Linked DNA regions of Oryzias latipes. The protein of the gene in region 2 interacts with the protein of the main gene of each other region in a biochemical or structural test. Links are inferred from orthologs where the notes say so. Each region holds a gene or a part of one and is shown on either strand. Other genes may lie near its edges.

What was found.
Region 1: the proteins of kpnb1 (region 2) and kpna4 form a complex in vitro, tested with the Homo sapiens proteins (2 studies listed by BioGRID and IntAct, with this or other methods). The link is inferred for Oryzias latipes from reciprocal best matches to the Homo sapiens genes KPNB1 and KPNA4.

What each region holds. Positions count from the first base shown.
Region 1 is NC_019871.2:13,522,551-13,526,838, reverse strand, and holds the start of kpna4 (importin subunit alpha-3), read left to right. Parts: upstream 1-1,487; 5' UTR 1,488-1,649; coding exon 1,650-1,718; intron 1,719-3,670; coding exon 3,671-3,715; intron 3,716-3,860; coding exon 3,861-3,950; intron 3,951-4,288. UniProt on the Homo sapiens protein: Functions in nuclear protein import as an adapter protein for nuclear receptor KPNB1. Binds specifically and directly to substrates containing either a simple or bipartite NLS motif.
Region 2 is NC_019866.2:174,200-178,153, forward strand, and holds the start of kpnb1 (importin subunit beta-1), read right to left. Parts: upstream 2,801-3,954; 5' UTR 2,513-2,800; coding exon 2,473-2,512; intron 1,795-2,472; coding exon 1,736-1,794; intron 1,188-1,735; coding exon 1,005-1,187; intron 937-1,004; coding exon 736-936; intron 1-735.

The DNA of each region.
Region 1 (4,288 bases), on a different chromosome or scaffold from region 2:
GCTGGGAATAAGAAAATAAGAAACCAAGAGCATTAAGGGAAAGCTTTTGGGTTTTGAGGATATACATTTATATATAGATATATAAATAGATATCTATATATCTATCTATCTATATATATAGATAGATAGATATATGATATATATATTTTTATTCAAAATGTGTTTGTCTTCTGAAACAAAATGATATTGATTTAATGACTTGTACCAAATCAGTGAGAACTTAACCCTTGTGCTTTCCTGTGGGGTCCAGATGACCCGATCCTTACATTGACGTGTTCTTCCTACCATGACAAAGGTGGATTAAGGTGAATAGGATTTCATGTAATCCATGGACACCAGTGAAATCATTGAAGAAAAAATGTTCAGCGCACTGTCTTGTGGGGTCTAGATGACCCAACTCCCAATGTTAAAGTGACTCAGATAGCACAAAGGTTACAGCAGATTTATTAGTTCCCAAATGAATAAAGTAAATCTCTCATGTTGATGTTTTTTTTAATATTGGAACTTCAAATAAATGTAATTTTTATGAAGATTTTGGGTTTAAGGTGTTAAATATAAATATTCATAAAATATTATGGAAAAGTATAGTCATTTCCATGATTCCATTGAAAACATTGTCCAGATTAAAATAGTTTAAAACATCCGTGCCCCGCAGAATTTGGACAGATTTCACCACAGTATTCAGATTTACTAAAAGTTTGTTTTCGTGGTTTTAATGAGGTGGAACCCAAATTTATGTAAAAATAAATAAATATTAGAAATCAATTAAACAGTACACTATATTCAATTTTTAGATCTAATTATCCAAATGAATAGACTTTTCCATGATGCTCTATTTTTAAAATGGTATTCAATAAAAATCGTGATACTACTGATAATTTTGTAGTTGTAATATCGAATATAATGGCAACATGGTGTGAAACTGGGAATTACATTTTTAGCATTGTATTGTAGAGAAAAAAGACAGTTCTCCGATCTAGAATGCCTTACTTCTTAATACTATGCCAAAATTGAGCAATCCTATTCCCTTTTTTTATTCAGATTTTGACTGCCTTATGAGAAATAGCATAAACTAATTCATTATATATATATATATATATATATATATATATATATATATATATATATATATATATATATATATATATATATATATATATATATATATATATATATATTATATAATATAGTATAATAGTACATAGTATAATATATAATATATATATATCTAATATATATATAATTTTATTATAATAAAAAGAATTTAGAATTTTACAATTCCCTAATGAAAACTCCTTAAGAAATGATGCGACATGGATAGGGTTTTAGTGAAATGACATATTTAAGTTTAGGTGATCACGAATCAAACGTCTGCCTTCCTAAACATGAGCAGACGTGAGTCGGTATAATGCGGTGTCTTCTGCACACAGACGTGAGCGGTGAAACCAATGAGAGTGAGGGGGATTTCCCCACCCTTCCCTTACGCCAGAGCGAGGCTGCCCTCTACCACCGGCATTCCCAGTATGCACCGCGGACCGAGCAGCAAAAAATAGTCCACTAACGAAAGACTGCGAAAAGGGAACCAGAAACAGATAGCTTACCGGCTAAAACTCTGTCCAGTAATATTTAACGTAATCAGAACTACTAACATGGCCGACAACGAGAAACTGGACAACCAGCGACTAAAGAATTTCAAGAACAAGGGCCGAGATTTGGAGGTAAAAGTTGCGAAGATCGGTGTCCTCGCTTTCGTCTGCACAGCCGCCGCGCTCAGCCTTGCCCCTCGGCTCCGTTGTGACGTCGTTTCTAATTTACACCACGGGCAACTTTGCTGCCAGAAACTGGCGAGGGCCTTCAGAAATCAGTGTTTATTGGAGGCTGGAATCGTTGGGTCAATTTCGAACTGGTTTCGTTTTATCCCGAAACCGTGTTGGGTGTAAAACATGTCAGAAAAGCCTCCGCTGGATCAGCTCTGCTAGCCACCAGCTAGCAAGGCCTCCGGGAACATGCTAACTCCACTGATGCATATCATCCCCCAGTTCGGTCTCGCTCGGTCAGAAATGTTAACAGCTTGCATACAATTATTTACAAAGTACTTTTACGTTATCTTCTGAGAATGTGGTGTTAAGTTAAGCTAAAACAACGACAGATGTTCGTACTTCTAACATTGCAGTTAGCCCAACTGCGTGCTAGGTTAGCGCGGCGGTGCTGTTGGCTGCAGTTCCACCCATCCCCCGTCTTTATAATCAAAAACAATGGCGGAAACAAGTAAGCTTCTAACATGACCACTTATATTAGGCTCAAGTCCACACCAATAGTAATATAGTTCTATTTTATGCGTTAATAGGACGTATTCTCAGGAGAGCAGTCTCCCCTTAACACGTTTACTACATGATTCATAGATCAAAGCTGGACGTTGGTTCATCATGTCGGATCAATAAGTTACCAGGTGATTTACAGTCAGGTCAACGCGTAGCTGTTAATGCATTCCAGCTAGTATTGATATCGGTTTCAGGTGGGGTTGCAGACGCAGGAAACCACGCATCCTGTTTGAGAAGGTACATATATGTTGCGAGGGGGGCGTCGATGATTGTTACGTTAATTATTCGACTTTCAACTCGAGAACCGCGCGTGAAATTCGTTTCTCCAATGATAAACTTTAAGCATCAACACCAAGGTTCAATACTTAATGTAAATAACTTCTAATGCATGCAAAGGTTCACGAGGAATTGAGTCAACAAACATTGTCAATTTGCATTTACTTTGCCTCCACTGTGTGCATCTGACGTAGAATTGTTTCAGAGGGCGGCGGCCACGTGGGACAGTAAAGCTGCACCTTTACCGTGAATAGAAACACATCTAATGTCACATCATGCACTGCAACCTGTAGACATATCCGCTTCTGAAATAAATTTGGCTTGATGTAATTACTAAGCTGGTAGCTGAGGGAGGAAGTGCGTGCGATTTTCAAGATGTTTTTAGTGGGTTACCAGATCACTTCTCTCATTCATAGTTCTATTTTAAGTCATCTCTGTCATATGACATTAATATGTTTACTATTTTTGGTCAGTGTTATCACTAATAAAACAACTGACTGTGTGGACACAATTGAGACATAACTGGTCATAGTGAGGATCCTAACAAACTATGGTTTTAATATTTGCAACAGGTTTTGCTTGACTAGAAATCGAATAAAGTAATGGGTAGATGAATAATCTTGTATAGGAAAACCCTAAAAGTGATCCTTAAGGTCTTCTTCCAGTCATGTTGTTTTGTTGTAACTATTAACCTGCTTTTTCTTTTTTATTGAAAAAGCTTGCTATACTACCATTTCCTAAAAATGCAGTTCCCATTTTTGCCATTTTACTTTTTTTTCTTTTTGCATATGATACAAATATGTCAAAAAAGAACAATGAAACCTGAAAATGTAAAAATGATGTATCGGTCAGGTACTGTAGTTCTTAAAGCTGAGTTACATTTAGTCAGACTTGTGATACTCATTTGTAGTTGCAGACCTCTGCTTTATAGATGCTGTAGACTTAATGCCCAGACGACCTGCATCATCAATACCCGAATATACACAGTACCCTGATATTCTCATTTATTTCTCTAAATTTGTTTGGAAGGTTGAAATTTCCTAATTTAACTAAATTTAATATTTTCCTTGCAGACGATGAGAAGACAAAGGACTGAGGTTGTCGTGGAACTTCGAAAGGTAAATAAACTCTTTACTTAAGCCATTATTTAATTAATATTGCAGAATGCTCTCAGAATTGAATATTCAGCTATATTTTATATATACTTTGCAGTAACATAAATGGATGATTAGTGAAGTGAGCTCACTAACTTTTTCATTACAGAACAAAAGGGACGAGCATCTGCTGAAGAGGAGAAATGTTCCCCACGAGGACCTCTGTGAGGACTCTGATCTTGATGGAGATTTCAGATCAGTGAGTTTATCTTTCAAATATTCCTTTTTTACACCATTATTCAGAAAAACCATATATTGCATGTTTGAATTGCAATACTACTATTAGCAACAGGGATGACAGCTTGTCAGATATGGTATAGACTGAATTTGTACTGAGATTTTGTACATTTTTGGAAAGTCTTCAGATGCTGAGCAGGTTAGGTTTAGACTTTTGCATTTAGGATGCTGCTTTATTTTGTACTGACTAGGTGGGGCAAGATTGTTTCAAAGTGTGCAGTTTGTCTTGCTATGTACTCATTTTTCTTGATCAATGTGCACAAAAGCTTCAGTTGTTGCTCAAGATACTTACAGGCACAA
Region 2 (3,954 bases):
TTCAAACCAGAAAAACTCGATTCACCATTTTAAATCGGCCGCAGCGGCGCCGGTTCTGGACGCAGCGGCGCCGGTTCTGGACGCAGCGATTCTCCGACTTGGTTCTACCGGCTTAACCCTACGAAGCTGAAGAACCTCAGCAGTTTGATTGATCCTCTTTATTGATCTGAGCGTTTAGTCCACGTGATCAATACCTGAGACATCCATTAATCTCTGCTTGAAGCTGAATTTCAGACCTCAGAGGTCAAAGTTCAAATGACCAACAGACACATTTGAATAAAAACTGAAAACAAACTTCCACTTTGTGGCTAAATGTCACTTTTCACGCTGAAACATTCTGCTCTGTTTATTGACGTCTCATGGAGGCGGAGCTTAAATTCAAGTTTCTTCTTCCTTCCTGAAAAATATCTACCCTAAAGAAAAAACTGCAGCGAGATCCTGGAGGTTCTGACAAACGTACGGATCGGGCCGCCTGCTGAGACTCTGAAGGACGGGTTCTGATCCCACAAGAACCAAAGGTTCCTGACGTGATCGGTCCGAACCCGAACCGGGACGCAGACGGCAACGACCGAAGCGTCTGCTGCTTTGAGGAACCGGGAACGTAGAGAAACCAGAGGATGGAGGACAAACCGCCGTCTGATATCGATGAGGCCATGCAGCAGTGGGAGGGGCCCAGAACCCTCCAGAACCTGGAGAGGGCCCGGCAGGTCCCACGTGACGGGACGCGTCACTCACAATGTCCTGGCAGATGTAGCCGATGGCCTCCAGCGTGGACTCCTTCATGTGCTCGGTGCTGGACGGGTCCGTCACGTTGGCCACCAGCTGAGGGATCAGCTCGGGCCACTGGTTGACCGGGATCTCAGCGCAGGCGATGCCGGCGACGCACTGCGAGGCGGAGCTGGGCCGGTACGTCTCTGTGCCCAGAGTTTGGAGGACCTGCAGGAGAAACACGGACCCGGTAAGCTCCGCCCCCCGCTCAGACAGCCGCCTTCAGCAGCACTTACGTAGTTCTTGATCTCGCGGCGAGCATTGGCGTCGATGGCGAGCCATCTCTGCTGGTACTGCGTCTTCACGTCAGGATCTTTGGAGGTCAGGGAGTTCTTCACCTGCAGGCCCGCGGCCACCCGGGCCACCTGCGTGTTCCCCGGGTTTGCCAACACCTTGGAGAGCTCCACCAGGAAGGTGGGCTGGGGGGGGGAGAGAGAGAGAGAGAGAGAACGAGAACATCAGCGGGGGGCCTTCAGGCTCGGACCGCCGTGGAACGAAAACCTGAAGGCCCGCCCCCAAACCCAAAGGAGGTCCTGAGACCGAAGCCACTTCAGGGTTCTAGTCCAGACTCTGCCTGCAGCCAAAATCTCTCCCATCATGCTTTGCAGCATCATTACATACAGTCTGAGCATCACAGTAACGGCACAGGCGGGACTTCCTGGTTCCAAAAAGGTCACATGATGCCGCGTCATGCTAGCAGGTAAACCCACATCTGTTAGCATGACCGGAGGACGGAGAGCAGAAGTGCTTATGGCTTCACTCCCGTGACTGCAAAGCATTGTGGGATTGATCCTAGTCTGACCATCAAGAAGGGGGTTCCGGACCTCCTCTGGATTACTGGACTTTAGGGGAAACACAGGTCTTTGGGGGAGACGTCAGAGCTCACTGAGTGAGTGCGCGTGCGCCAGCTGATCACGGATGCTCCGTTCGCCCGGCCGCCCCGCACCGCCCCGCAGACCGAACTTACCAGGTTCTCCACCGCCGCCTGCTCCAGAAACTTCTGCGCCGCCTCCAGCTCATTCCGATCTGCGGAGAGAGGGCAGAGGTCAGCCAACGCCGGCCGGCCTGCAGCCGCACCGACGCCCGGGCCGGGTCGGCCCGGACATTTCCGCCATCACCTAATCAGTGGCCCACGTGGGCCGCGGACCTGAAAACAGAGCACGATGCGTTCACGGACTGCGTCTGAACCACGGGTAAAGCGCGCTAGATTAGCATGCTAGCATTGCTAAAGGCGCTCGTTAGGAGTCCGTTTGGTTCTCCAGACAGCCGCCGAACCCAGCCGAACCGGCCTTCAACAGCCAAGTGCTGGCAGCCTAACGCGCCCGCTGAACGCTCCCGCGAGGACGCTGAGGCTCGAGAAGGAAGCGGCTGCTAGCATTAAGCTAACGGCTAAAGCAGCCGCCGCGCCGGCATGGCATGGATGGGCAGGGTCGCTCCGGTAACCGGTCCTGCGGCTTCAGCCTGCGCTCCTGCTCGCCACCGCAAACCGGAAACTTCCCCGCCGCTGAGGGCCACAAATTTACCGGACTTTACCTGCTGGTGGCGGGGTTCCAACTGCACCGGCAACGCACGAATGACGAGTCCCGACTCAGGCCGGAGCCTTAGCACCGTTAGCCCTGCCAGCTAGCATCTGCCCGGTGTCCTTCCTGCAGACCCGGACCGCCAACCGGAGCCCAAACAGCGGACGGGCGAGTGGGCGCTTACCCGGAGAGACCGTTTTTTCCAGGATGGTAATGAGCTCCATGCCGCCGCCGCCGCTCTCGTCTCTCACACGTTCTGTAGCCGCGCACCGCCGCAGCGGATTATATTTCTTCCACGGTGCTCAGTCGGTGCCGTCGGGGCGAACTCGGTTCGCTGCGGAAAAGGCGGGAGCTCTCCGGTGTTCGCTCGGTGCTTCTGACTCGGATGATGCGGGGAAATGTTTACGATCGAGGCAAACAGCAGCGCGTCGAAGCTCCGCAGCCGCCCATCCGCATCCTGAATCGTCGGGAGGGAAAGGACCGCGCGTTTCACCCACGCGGAAGGATATCACGCACTGACGTAAAGACACGACGTGCTGCCTTCAGGGGGCGTGGGAGCTTTCAGGAGGCGATTTCTGGATGAAGTAGCGGAGAAAGGCTGTTTTTCTGACACTGCAGCACAACAGCTGCGTCGTTACTGCACGATGGATTTGTGCTTTTATTGAACATTTTACTGTTGGTAAAGATCTTCTGCTGAGTACAGGAAGAGGTCAGAGGTCAGAAACATGAAGTCTACAGCCAAACCTTCTGCAGGACAATGAAACACAAAGAATCCTCTGAACACATTCTTCTAGAGGTTTGGTTGACAAACATGACCGTCACTGTGAAATGTCAAAGTCCCGCTCCAATCCTCTTCTGATCTAAAGTCTTTTCACGATGATGTTACTGTTTTTAGCCAAAATCCAAACATCTGGGTCGTTTTCTTGGACTTAGTTTCTGCAGAGTGCCAGGAGTTCATCAGAAATTCACCTCTGGGTTGTGGGTGGGACTATTGGTGCAGAGTAAGCCTGCCCTCATTTCCCATCATCCTTTTGTTTATACTCTCCCCCTCTAGCGTACAGCCCCTCACACCCCCAAGCTAGCATTAGCGGTGCAGCAACATCAGATCCATCCATCCGTCCAGTTCAGATCCAGATTCCGGCTCAGACCAGGAAAACTGAGACCTTCATGGATCTGTTGGTCTGCAGAAGGGGGCGGAGCCTGGAGGCTTCTATGTCACCGCTCAAAGCTTGATCAAAGGACGTTTTGTCATCCGCTCCTGATTCACAAGGATCTGAATAAAGAAAGGGTCAGGAAGGCCGATCCAAAGTCCAGCATCAGAAAAACACCACAAACATCATTTTCACGGGTCTTTGACTGCTTCATCTTCAAACTCAGGGAAGAATATTCTGGATGGCGCTGAAGCACCATCTCCACTCCACGAGAAGGTGCTGCTGACCCCCCAGTCCTGAAGGAGCAGCGGCGTGGGATTCGCCTTGTTGCTGCAGCCGCGTCATCTCAGGCAGCTGGAGGACGGCAGCAAACAGGAAGAGCTTCCCCGTGGCGTTTTTGCAGGAAATGCGATTCGTCTGGTGATGGTTGCTCTTCATCACACAGCTGTCTGAAACCTTTTCCTCTATTTTCAGAGCTTAGTGTTTTTTGATTCTCCTCAGTTCCCTCCAGAAAG